3 linked regions of the Drosophila melanogaster genome follow. The protein of the gene in region 2 interacts with the protein of the main gene of each other region in a pairwise test. Each region holds a gene or a part of one and is shown on either strand. Other genes may lie near its edges. The genes, in order: Sbat, Gem3 and icln.

The links.
Region 1: the proteins of Gem3 (region 2) and Sbat interact in a two-hybrid assay, tested with the Drosophila melanogaster proteins (one study listed by BioGRID).
Region 3: the proteins of Gem3 (region 2) and icln interact in a two-hybrid assay, tested with the Drosophila melanogaster proteins (one study listed by BioGRID).

Annotation. Positions count from the first base shown.
Region 1 is NT_033779.5:2,876,548-2,879,501, forward strand, and holds Sbat (sabbat), read left to right. Parts: upstream 1-1,796; 5' UTR 1,797-2,045; coding exon 2,046-2,411; 3' UTR 2,412-2,454; downstream 2,455-2,954. Other genes in the region: Prx6a (peroxiredoxin 6a), read right to left, coding at 641-842, 1,064-1,256, 1,317-1,590; RabGGTb (Rab geranylgeranyltransferase subunit beta), read left to right, coding at 2,717-2,954. UniProt on the Drosophila melanogaster protein: Auxiliary component of the N-terminal acetyltransferase C (NatC) complex which catalyzes acetylation of N-terminal methionine residues. May have an accessory function in the survival motor neuron (SMN) complex.
Region 2 is NT_037436.4:10,458,579-10,465,027, reverse strand, and holds Gem3 (gemin 3), read left to right. Parts: upstream 1-1,926; 5' UTR 1,927-2,001; coding exon 2,002-2,191; intron 2,192-2,249; coding exon 2,250-5,146; 3' UTR 5,147-5,947; downstream 5,948-6,449. Other genes in the region: CG32061 (uncharacterized protein), read right to left, coding at 483-1,127.
Region 3 is NT_033778.4:17,589,231-17,592,381, forward strand, and holds icln (icln), read left to right. Parts: upstream 1-1,733; 5' UTR 1,734-1,802; coding exon 1,803-1,921; intron 1,922-2,007; coding exon 2,008-2,536; 3' UTR 2,537-2,651; downstream 2,652-3,151. Other genes in the region: RhoGAP54D (Rho GTPase activating protein at 54D), read right to left, coding at 1-624, 678-910, 976-1,124; CG30105 (uncharacterized protein), read right to left, coding at 2,656-2,733, 2,798-3,151. UniProt on the Drosophila melanogaster protein: Involved in both the assembly of spliceosomal snRNPs and the methylation of Sm proteins.

The sequences.
Region 1 (2,954 bases), on a different chromosome or scaffold from region 2:
GTACATATTTGCATTTCATTAACATATTCAAGGTAACGATCTCTATGCGAACTCAGATTGTGGAATATATCTTGTGAGTATTTGGGCAAGGGAAAGTGCTCAAGCATCCACTGTTTAAACTAATTATCAGTAACATGTGTTTCCAATTATTAGTTTAAATGAATGGTCACTATTACAAATAACTTTATACTGTTTGTGCCACCAAAATTAATCCAATGTAAACATTTTCCTTTCAGTTATCTTCGGTTACGGGCACGAGCTTGGTCTTTAGCTTTCTTCTATCCTAGAAAGCGCTTCAGTTATTGTACAGAGTTGGCCTTATTTATACCTTACTTACCCCCATGGTTATCCAGTTGCAATATCTCTACCCCCTTTTGTACACGTCTATATATGTATATTGAATGTATATTTATTTCGTACACACAAATCGCGACCTTTTTGTCACATTCCCCATCTGATTTAGTTCGTAAGTCGAATGTTTTGGCAATTTTGTCCAGCAGAAGGCGAGTTTTAGCCACCTGAAAGCGCCGATCTACTGAAAATACGGTTGTAAGCGTATACTTTATTGTGCATTATTTGTTGTTAATTATAATTTTTGTAATAAAGCAAAAAAAAAGTGAGAGCGCACGCTTGTCATCCATTAGGGCTGTGGAGTGATCCGCAGGTAACTCTTTCCGGAGGGCAGCTCAATGGTTTCGATACCATCAGGAAAGAGCTTAGGAACATCTTCGGCTTTGACGGTGGGCAAGACCATGCACTTGCCGCCCTGTTTCCAATCCGCCGGCGTCGCGACACTCTTTGTTTGGGTCAACTGGAGCGAGTCGATCACTCGAAGGATTTCACTGCAAAGGATATAGTTAAATGTAATTTGTCGGATTAATTGACCTTGAAATCGTTCCTATTTAACTTCCATTATTATATGCAAGGTTAGTACTTAGTTTTCAGCAATAATACTTCATTAAATAATTATCTGCTAATGCGATTAAGTGCACGATTGTTTGCTAAAGTGCATTACAGCATTACTTTATAGATAATGATGAATGCTAGATATTGGAATACCCACTCAAAGTTGCGCCCAGTGGTGGCAGGATACAGGATGGACAGGCGAAGCTTCTTCTTGTCGTCCACCACGAAAACGGCGCGACAGGTGAGGGGAATGCCCTCGGCATTGATCTCGTCCTTGTCCAGCATATTAAACTTGAGCGCCAGTTCCCTTTTGTCGTCCGCAATGATGGGATAGTCAAAGGAGCTCAGCTCTGCGAACAGAAACGCCAATTAGAAGCGATTCCTGTCCAGAAATCAGTGACCAAACCCACTGCCAAAGCTCTTGATGTCCTCGATCCAACCCTTGTGCGACTCCACGGTGTCGCAGGACAGTGCAATTGGCTTGACTCCACGCTTTTGGAATTCCGGAATCAATGCCGCCACCCGGGACAATTCCGTGGTGCAAACCGGCGTAAAATCCGCCGGATGGGAGAACAGAATGGCCCAGCTGTCCTGCATCCAGTCGTAGAAATCGATTCGACCCTCGCTGGTCTCAGCCGTGAAGTTTGGGAACTGATCGCCAATGTTTAAAGCCTTTCCGGACATGGTGGATATTTGAAAAAATCAAGAGACGAATTACGAGCTTTTTGGATAAATGCGAAACAAAATTTGCCGCAAAATGCAAATCAGCTGACTGGGCTAGGGTGCCCGTTACCTTTATAAGCTCAGCTCGACCAGGGATGCAAATATAAAAAGAACTAGTTTTCGTATGAAGATGTTAAAAAGAAGGCTCATTGTGTGCATTCATTTTGCAATCATTTCCTTTAAGTGTTTTAAATCTAAAGTATTTTCTTTGACACAAGCAAACGAGTGTTTCGTATATTTTCGAATTTATGAGCTCAAAAAGTGAACCAGTGAACCGAACCACTTACACGTGCTTGCATCCCTGGCCATTACTCATACACACGCACACTATATCACACATACGCGCAGTGTAAACACAAAAAAAGCTGAGAATTTCTTGCATTTATTTGTTTAAATTGAGCAAAGAGGATATAACCATGACAGAACTGAGCATCACTGGCCAGCAGGTGATGCCCCCGCCCGCATGCACACCACCGGAGCCCTTCCGCATCACAACGAACGCCCCGCACCAGATGAACGATGCCAGTTTGACGCCGGGACGCAGGAAGCTCCAGAAGTGGCTGGGTCGAGTTCTTCGGATCGTGATTACGGACGGACGCGTGCTGGTGGGATTCTTCAACTGCACGGACCGCGACGCCAACATCGTGCTGTCCATGTGCGCCGAGTACTTGGTGGAGGGCCAGGAGCCGCGCCTGCTGGGCAACGTCATGGTTCCCGGCCAGCACATAGTCTCCCTAAGCATCGACGAGCCGGATCCGCAGTCCAGCCTGCTGGTGCAATAGTGTGCATGTGTTTTGAATAAAATAAACTAGCTATTTGAAATTTAAGTACGTTTAATTTTTATTTTTGGATGGGGTTATAGTAAACCCCTCCACACTACGCCCCTGCGTCGATCAGCTGTTTGATAAGCCACTGCCGCGTTGCCAACCATCGCGCAGATGAATCAGCTGTGCTCGATTGGATTCACTGAGTTATTTGTTTGCTCGCAGCACTATTCCTGCCAATTAATAGAGTTAATCAAGCGAAACAGCGCGCCGAAGAGGATCTGCCAGCCACCCGATACTCATTCAATTGAGCCCAATCAGCGATGGACTTCACGACCTTCGTAAAGCCCTCAAATGGCGGTGGCGACAGCGGCGGTGGTGGTGATGCGGATGGCGGCGGCCAGAAGCTGCAGTTCTGGAAGCATGTGGAGTACATCGAGAACCATGGGAAGCAGGAGGACGACTACGAGTACTGCATGACCGAGTTTCTGCGCATGTCGGGCATCTATTGGGGCACCACTGCCCTGGACATTATGGGCCAGCTGGAGCGATTGGAGCGCA
Region 2 (6,449 bases):
CTCTTGAAATAATCATATAAGGATACAAACATTTTTTAAAGCAAAAAATAGCACTTGTGTATTTATGTACTCCTTTCACATTTATTCACCGTGAGTTTTCTCCACTGAATAAAAGTGAGCAAGAAAAAGTGATTGCCGCATATTTCCCACGTGGTGGAAAAGTTTTTTCCAACAATAAAATGCCAAGCGGTGCATAAAGTTCATAGAAAAGTTTTCTCTTTTGTTGATTGAAAATGTCGCTTATTGTCGCAGGCAAAACACCAGAAGAAATCAACAATACAAATGTTGTTGAGAAATTAAAACTAACAATAAACCAATAACGAATTCCAATGCTCAATTAATGCTACAATAATTTAAGTTTACTGATCAAATCAAAATCACTTTAAAACTTTAGAGCTAAGTCAACAAAATCGATTTATTTTCCATTATTATAATTTTTGCATCAAACATAAAATAAAAATTTTAAATATAGATTGCCATGTTCAGTCCAAAAGATGTGTTTCAATGGAAATACAATTTCCAGAAAGATGAGATGCCTTCTCCAAGGATACTCCTCCGCCGATAATTTGCGACCAATAGGGTATTAAAGTCACGGATGTAGAACGATGCCAAAAGAGGCCTTGCAGTTCTCCATAAAGCTGAATCGCCCTCCAGTTAGATATGCAAAAATGCTGTATGACCATGTAAAATCGAATATAGTTGATCAATCCGCTGGCCACAAAGGTCAATATCCAGGGCAAAGCAAATAACAGGAATATATTCCGCGGCAGGGTTCCGTTTTTCAATGCGGAATTCTGTTTTTTGATCCAATTGTTTTTCACTTGCTCTGCAGCTGTTGTCGTAGTTTTAAGGATTCCTTTCTTTTCCATCGATACCTCACTTTTGCCACTTTGCAAGTGTCGTGAGTACCAAACTCCGATCATAGATAGTAGTGAATACATTATGGCCTTAACCAGCATCCAGTGATTGTATTTATAGCCCAATTGAAGCGTTAGATTACGATTCACGGAGGGATAGACCGTTTTTAGATTGGCATTCGCCTCGATGACCGGCTGAAGATTTGAGCCCAAGTGCAGGGATGTCAGCAGCGCAAAGTAACCAATGTCTCGTATTTTGGGTATGAACATGGTTCTCGAATTTGGAGTTCAAAATGAAAAAATTTTAAGTCGTTTTTTAAATTTTGTATCTAATTTTGTGTGACCTCAATGTGCTCTGACATTCCCAGTCTGATTGCTTAAAAAACGTTATATTATAAACATTTTTTGATTTTTATTTTAAATTATACGTAATTAAAATTACGTAATTAAACAATTAGGTAAATAATAAAAGATTTTATCGTTGTTTGTTATAAATTAATTTATTAAATTGAAAGGCAGCGTGCTGAAACTACTTAACTGCATCAACTTATTTTAGCGACATAAATTATTTGAAATTCCCGCCAGCTGGTACAGTTTGAGAGCAACTATTAGCTGTGCTAAAACCCCTGCATTTAAGTGCTTGACAATCTTGCCTTATTCCAACCTATTGGAAATATAAATTTCATATTAAAACAATCAACGGTACGATGTACATATTTTTTTATTGTAAAACAATATATTGTTAAGATTTCAAAAGGAATTAATTTTTTATTTTTAGTTCAATTGGTTGGAGTGCTTGGTAAATAGTTAGCACAGATAGCAACCTTGGTGTGAGCCTTCGCTAATATTTCGACATAAGATTTAAATACAGAAAATAATATTTAATTCTAACAATTATACCTTATTTCTGTGTGAAATTATGAAAAATGTAAACATTTCTCTGAATACAAATGACATTTCGTTACTGTAGGTTTTGTTCTGTGTAAATAGGTTTAATATTCACGGATAATTCGTTTGTAGTATATTTTAGTATATAATTATTCGCGTATGATGGATTTTTTGGCCGGCAATAAAAAAGTGTAAATTGTAGCAAGGCAACCGAATCGTTTCAAAATTTTGTCCAAAAAGTGGAAATTTACGCGAAATGGAGCGCGAAATAGCGCACAGTTTAGCTGGCGGCGAGGAACGAAGTAGCGATGTGGCACCTGGACAGGTTAAGACCTTCGAGGAACTGCGTCTATACCGAAATCTGTTGAACGGATTGAAGCGCAACAATTTCGTGACGCCAACGAAGATTCAGGCAGCTGCCATACCCATGGCACTGGCCAAAATGGGTAAATATCTTGCATGCAACAGAAGATTATCAATAATAGTTGCTATATTAATCTGCAGATCTAATAATACAATCGAAGAGTGGAACTGGCAAAACTCTAATCTATGTTATAGCCGTCGTTCAGAGCTTTAATCCCAACATAAACCAACCGCATGCCATGATCGTGGTCCCAACTCGAGAGCTGGCCATTCAGGTGCAGGACACATTTTTCCATCTCTGCAAATCGTTTCGGGACTTTAAATGCTCTGCTTTCATCGGTGGCACCGATGTGGCCAAGGATCGCAAGCGAATGAATGAAAGTCGAGTCATTATCGGTACACCGGGACGTTTGCTGCATCTGTATGAGAATAGAGTATTCGATGTGTCCAAACTGCGACTGCTGGTGCTCGACGAGGCCGATCAACTTTATCAGACAAAGAGCCTGCAGCATACGGTCAGTAAACTCATTGAGGCAATGCCCAAGAATCGGCAAATAATTGCCTGCAGTGCCACATACGATCAGAATTTGGATGAGCGTCTGGCCAAGGTCATGGACAAACCCATGCTTATATCGAATTCCGAAAGGGCTACCGTTCTACTGGGCATTCGGCAGTTTGTCTACGAATTGCCACAGCAGAATAACAGTGTGGAGGAGATGCGTCTTAAACTGCAGATTCTTGGCCAGATCTTTAATCAGCTGCCTTACGAACAGGCCATCATCTTTGCTAGCTCACAAATGCGAGCGGATTCTTACAAGAACTATCTTACAGCCAGTGGTATCGATTGTCATTTAATTTCGGGAGCCATGGAACAATCGGAGCGTTTGCATGTTTTCGAGGGCTATAGAAACTTTACTATGCGCATCCTGGTGGCCACTGATTTGATGGCACGCGGAGTGGACTCCCCGCATGCCAACCTGGTTATCAACATTGATCCACCACAGGATCATGTCACCTATTTGCACCGCATTGGACGAGCTGGTCGGTTTGGCTCCAAAGGCATAGCCATCACGTTTATTGCCTCCAAGAAGGAGAGCCAGAGATTTAGGGAAATGTCAAAAAAAATCGCTACGGCTTGGTCGGTTCTGGAGTTTCCCAAGGAGCCAATGCCCAATGAATTCAATTTTTGGGATTTCGAAAAGTACAACTTTGATTATTACATTAAGGAAGAGAATCCGCTACAGGAAATGCCTATGCCTATTAAAGAAAATAGAAGTAAAGAAAATGTTGATGCTTCTTCAGTTGACTTGGAAAATCTTCAAAAGGATCAGGATGGCAAAAGGAGAGATCCAGACAAACTACCAGTGGCCTTAGAAAATGTTGAAACCCAAAAAGAGTTGGAGCTCGAAAACTTACCAGAAAGTTCACATAATAATAAGAATCTTAGGGTCAAAGAGAAAGAAATTGTAAGGCAAGGAAAGCTTAAAGAAACTAATTCCAAAGCTGGAGGTTCTAAAACGAACAAGACGGAGAGAAGGAAAAAATCTAACACTCCATCAAAGTTACAGAAACAAATAACTGAAGTGCAGCAAACACCAGAGATCACCGTAAATAAATACTATATGCAAGAAGACATACAACGAACAGCAGACGGCAAAGAGTATCATCCTGTTAATGGAGCGGGAAACCACCAGGTTCCGTCAAAATCTAATCAAAAACCGGTGGAGTTTATATCTCCCGAATTGACACCAACCCTAACACCATTGGAACTGACCCAGGAGCCGTCTCCAACCACAGTGACACCACCTGCACCGCCAGCCAACTCGATTAACAACAAAACCTATTGCCTAGCTGCTCCAACGCAAACCAGTTCGATGACCATACAGAACATGGTAATATCGAACACGGTGGACGATGCCAGTAGCATCAGTTCGGATAGCATGGTGGTATGTGGCTATCATAGCGATAGGTCCTACGACACATACTATGCAACCAGTGATGAGGAGGAGATCTGGAATAGATTAATGTCGAAACAAAGGCGTCAGCTGAAGAGCAAGAGAGGCCATGGAAAACGGCGTGTGATACTATACAAGAAAGTATTTCCTAAACTAAAGGCGAATGTTAAACGCAAGCTTAAAAAACGGATGAGCTCGTCATGCAGATCCAAAAAAGCACACCATTTGCGAAAACGTCATGTATACAAAAATATATCACTTTTGCCACACATGAATTTGTGTCATCTGCTTCAAAAATTTACAAATCAAGAGAGATTTTTGAAACGGCTCCACAAATATGCAAAGAATCAATTCATTGACAATGCGAGGGTTGGCTTTTTGCTGGATAAGCTCTATAAATCCATCCTGGAAATGTACTATAACAGTGCTAAGGAGAGGAAGAAGCATTTTAAGGAAGCTATGAAGGAGTCCCTAAAATCCATTGATAACTACGAGAGCCAAGAGTCTTCGGAATCAGAGGAGGAGGAGGAGGAGGAGAAGGATCTAAAGAACAAGTTAAGTGTTCATGTGACGAATCAGATGGACATACCACCAATGCCACAGGCCGCTGTTGAAATTGGTTCAGGAAGTGAATCGGATACGGAGGACTCGCAGGAATACGGCGAAGGCGAAGAGATCATTGTGGACGATGAGGACGATGGCAGCGATGGCGGGCCAAATTCATCGAGTGGTTTTGTAGAGAGTCAGGAGAGTGTTTCGTCTGGAATAGACACTTCCGTTTACGAAACGGAATCTACGGGCGCATCTGGAAATAATTCAAGTGCATTCTTTATTTCGGATGATGAATCAGATACTGAATCCTTAACAGATTCGGAAGCTGGAAGCAATGTCAGCGCGACAGGATCAAGCTCACAGCGATCTTCAGTAGCGAGCAGCACCTATGAATCTTCGGATGATGATTCTGTAACTGTAACCAATGTCAGTTCAATGCAGAACGCTCAATCATTGTGGTTGCAGACTTTCAACATGCAGTACCAATTCATTGCATCCCATGTGGCCAAGAATCTACAGAACTATTACTAAGTGGTTATGAATGAAAAACTAGTGAAAACTCAGGCATTAAAATTAAACTCAACTAATCACTTCATTCGGAAACAAAACGGATCAGTTCCAAGAGAGGCTGTATCAGTCTCTTTCCTTACAATTGTATATCGTAGCCAGTTAAACCGTTTTCTTAATTAGAATACTCAATGTCGAAATAGTTGATAGCATGTTGGATACCATGAATGTTTTTTTATGCAAGCAATAAATTGCAGAATTTGTTACCAAAAAAATAAATGAATTAAAGCAGGAAACTAACTATTTTGAATTTATTAAACAATAAGTTCATTGCTCAACTTCTTTGATTTCAAAATTGATTGTTTTTCATGTTTATTCGCTACATAATCGCATCAAACAAATTAATCCACAATGTGAAAGTTAAATCCCTTTAATCACTCGCAATGATTTATCTAAGAGATGGGAAAACAAACATTTTTCTTGGTTTCGGCAAGCCGGATGGATGAAGGTAAAGAAGCGGCGCCAACCGACTGCCGGGACATAAATCATATAGTCAGTGGGATCGGGATCGGCATCGACCATCGACCATCGGGCAACGGGCATCAGCTGTGTGGCAGACAACATTGTTGCACGGGCGCCGCTCACTTTGCAACTGACTGCAGAGGTGTTAACCCATTAATTAGCTGTTGTCAAAAGTCGTTCACTCGATTTTGAAAGCCACTCGAAAATCAGAATGGATTGTACAAAAATATGACATATATTTATGTTTTATTTATTTATTTAATGCATTTTGTGAATTATTTGTGCAACGAATGCCATGTTTGTCAGCAAATAAATGAGTTCTACTATTTTCTTTTTATACTCCACTGCTGTATTTAATTTTTAAAATACTTCGATTCATAAATAATTTATTTTTAAATTGATTAAATGCAGTTAAAATTTTTAAGTTTCCTTTTACGAGTTTTGTGTCCCCATTTGCGAGTGCTTCGCAATGGGTTAAGCGAATGAGACGGTCCACAGGCGGCATGCCGCGTCGGTGGCATAGTCAAAACATTCGCCCTGCGGTCGAGCACGCAAAAAGCCGGCATCTGGATGGTACTGCTCATTGGTCGTCGATCTGCAGTGCCCCAAGTGCCCCTCTTTTGGAGTGCAACACCCCTCCCCCCCCTGCGTTGCAAGTCCAATAAGGAGCGTGAGAAAACGCAAATTCAAAGCGAGCTGGAAGCGACAACATTTTATAGATCCTAGAGACATGGATAGCGTTGCATTTTGTCGCTGCCGCAGTGGCAGCAAACTCAATTCGATTAGCGATAAATGCGAGATGCGA
Region 3 (3,151 bases), on a different chromosome or scaffold from region 2:
CCGAGATGGACTCGTCAAGCGTTTGTTCCGGCGACATGGTTTTCTTTCTTTTGCGCTCGAGAAAGTACGCCCGGATGTCGGTAGACAGCTTTCCAGGCACCTCGAAGATGTCCAGTCCACGGACGATCATATAGGTCACGATGCTGGACATTTTCTTGGCCTGGTAGTGCAGGACCTCGGGTGGCAGTTGCCTTGGGCAAATTAGGTGCGGTGTGAAGAGAGTGGCCAAGTTATCGGCGCTCATCTTGTTGCTTTTCTCATGCTTGGCCACAGCATGCAGCATCTCAATGATGTGCTGAAGAAGTTCACGATGTTCTTCGGGCAGGAGGAGAAGTAGCAGCTGCACGGAGTTGAGAAGATGTTGTTGACGCTCAGCAGTGGCAGTCGTCTGACCATTGAGCGCCTGGCAGAGTGGGGCTATCTGCAGATGCGCCGGATAGTGGGCATCCGTAAGCAGCGGTTCTGGAAGTTCGGATAGAAAACCTTTGAAAACGGTCGCGCAATCGTGAGCGGAGAAGCCCGCAAGTTCCAAATTCAGTGGTTTGTCGTGCTGGATGTGCATCCGAAGTTCGTTTTGTCGGGACACCGCACCAGCCTTGCGGAATAGGCCTTCCTGGGTGAGATCTGAAACAGTGGATCAGTTAATGAACGTAATTTGAGATCTTCAGCGAACTTACTCTTCTCCAGCATTAGGAACTCCTTGAGCTCTTGCAGATGCATTAAGAATCCCGGATCAATCTGCTGTTGCAGTGTCTCTGTGGGACTATTACCCACGGATTTACTGGCGGAGCCGGCGGCACAGGATGTGGCAGCTGCTCCATGTCCCAAACGATGTTTTTTAGACAGGCGGTTCCACTTCTTCAGCTTGCCCTTGTCCTCGTAGACAATCTCGTGACAGGGGAGATCGAATCTACATATATAAGGGAATCGTTAGTAATGTGGTGAGCAGCCATATACCAAGGTGATCCATCTTACTCATCCGTATTGAGCTCCAATTCAAACGATAGGTGCATGCGCACCAAGGATTTGTATTTTTCGTAATTGCAGCGGCGCATGCGCGTGGCCAGATCGCGATCCCTGAAGTCATTTAGGTTCGCATGGTCCGTATCCATCGTTGCTTCCATGCAATCTGTGTGGTTTATCCGTCGGGACTATCGAGTAAACACTGTATATATCCACGAACAACGACAACAACAACAATAATAACGACTGCCAACGGATAAGGAAAATAACAACAACTTGGAAGGACAATGACAAGTTCGTTTCGTTAACCCGAAGGCTACTTCTTTCACTTCTGTCCGTAATGGGTTCGTTTTGAGGAGTGTATTATTGTCGAAGGTTTGATGCGCGAGCATATAACTTCGCATTTATCACATTTATCGCAAATTTTAACAGCTAAAATTGAAAATTGAACGAGACGCTACCTAACCAGTGTGACCGCGGCTAGAGCGCCAAATTAAGACCTCTTTGGGAGAAAATCGTACGCGCTGATCTGGTAGCACAATTACGTACTACGTTTTTATCTTTTTTTGACAAAATTGTTCCATTCTTTATATATCTATTTCTAAATTCAACAGTGGTAAGAAAGAAGTTGTCCTCCGAGAACACCTGTTCTGATGATTCTACATTCAAAGAAGGAAAATACATCAGAGCGTTGCCAGAGTCCAGCTGTCTCTCCTAGTTATTGCCACCCTTGCCAGACTTTCAAAAGGGGGACGAAAAAATGGTACTCAACACTGCATTTTTGCAAGTTTTGTTGTTTGATCGCGCTTTTTACAATTAATTTAACAAGCTGTATTAAAATGGTTCTTATTATGCGTGTTTCCCCGCCGGAACATGGTCTGTTGTATACGGCAAACAATATCAAGCTGAAACTAGGCGACAAAGTGGTGGGCGAAGGCACAGTTTACATTGCCCAAAAGTGAGCGCTTTAGAGCTTTGCCGGTGTCTGGTATTGCTCTCTATTTATTAAAATCTTTTAAAGTAACTGTTATTTCTTGTTCCTAGCACGCTATCCTGGCAGCCAACTGAATTGGCGGAGGGTATATCCATTGAGTGGAAGCAGGTTAGCCTGCACGGTATCTCTTCGAATCCGAGAAAGTGCATCTACTTCATGCTGGACCACAAAGTCGAGTGGAACGGCGTCTACGGAGATCCTCCCCAGCAGGCAGTCAATGGTCGGAATGGCGGTGGTTCGGAAGCGGAAGTGGACGAGGGAAATGGCAGCGATGAGCACGATGAGGACGACAATTTCGAGGATGCCGTAGACGAGCAATTTGGAGAGGTCACAGAGTGCTGGCTTATGCCGGAGGACATTCACACCGTAGACACTATGTACAGTGCCATGACGACTTGCCAGGCCCTACATCCTGATTCGGCAAACAGTGATTCGGAAGACAGCGATCCTATGCAGGATGCCGGTGGCTTAGAGGATGAGGCTATGGAGGAGGATGATGCATTGACGCTTGGGCGCAACGGCGTGCAGAATCTCAGTTTGGACGACGACGAAGAGCGATTCGAGGACGCTGATGAGTGAAGCATAACCTATTTAAACATCAATACCACGTTTTATACCAGATAAAATGTACGATATATATGTATTGGATTAGATTTTGGAGTAATAAATAGAACGCGGTAAGCGCGATTAAAACAAAACTACGTGCTTTCCTTGACGTTTTCCTTATTACGAGCGATTTCTTTCTCTAAATCCTCTTCGCTAATGGGCTGCGAGAGCTAAATAAATAAAATGTGGTATTTATTAGGTGTACTTCGAGAATATATAGTGGTATATACATACAGCTTGAGCAACATCCGGCAGAGGAAGGGCCTGTCGGTAGGGATCGCCATTGGACGGCACTTTGTCGTAGTTCCAGTAAGTAAAATCTTGAAATACTCCAGTTAGCCGCAACTTTCGGTCGGAGGTATCGCTGATGGGCTTCTCTGTTTCTTGCAGAACTAATCCGCAGTATCCTTCGGGCACTTTCAACTTCTCTCCCATTAAAGGAAATCCGCGCAAGGCGTTCGTCAGGATTCCTGTGCCGAATTCGGTTGCTTCACGTGTGTAGTTGTTGAAGTAATTTTTTACATTCGCTTCCCCATCGCCGTCTATTTTGGCCGGCAAGTAGTGCACGTCTAAATTCTTACCCTTGGC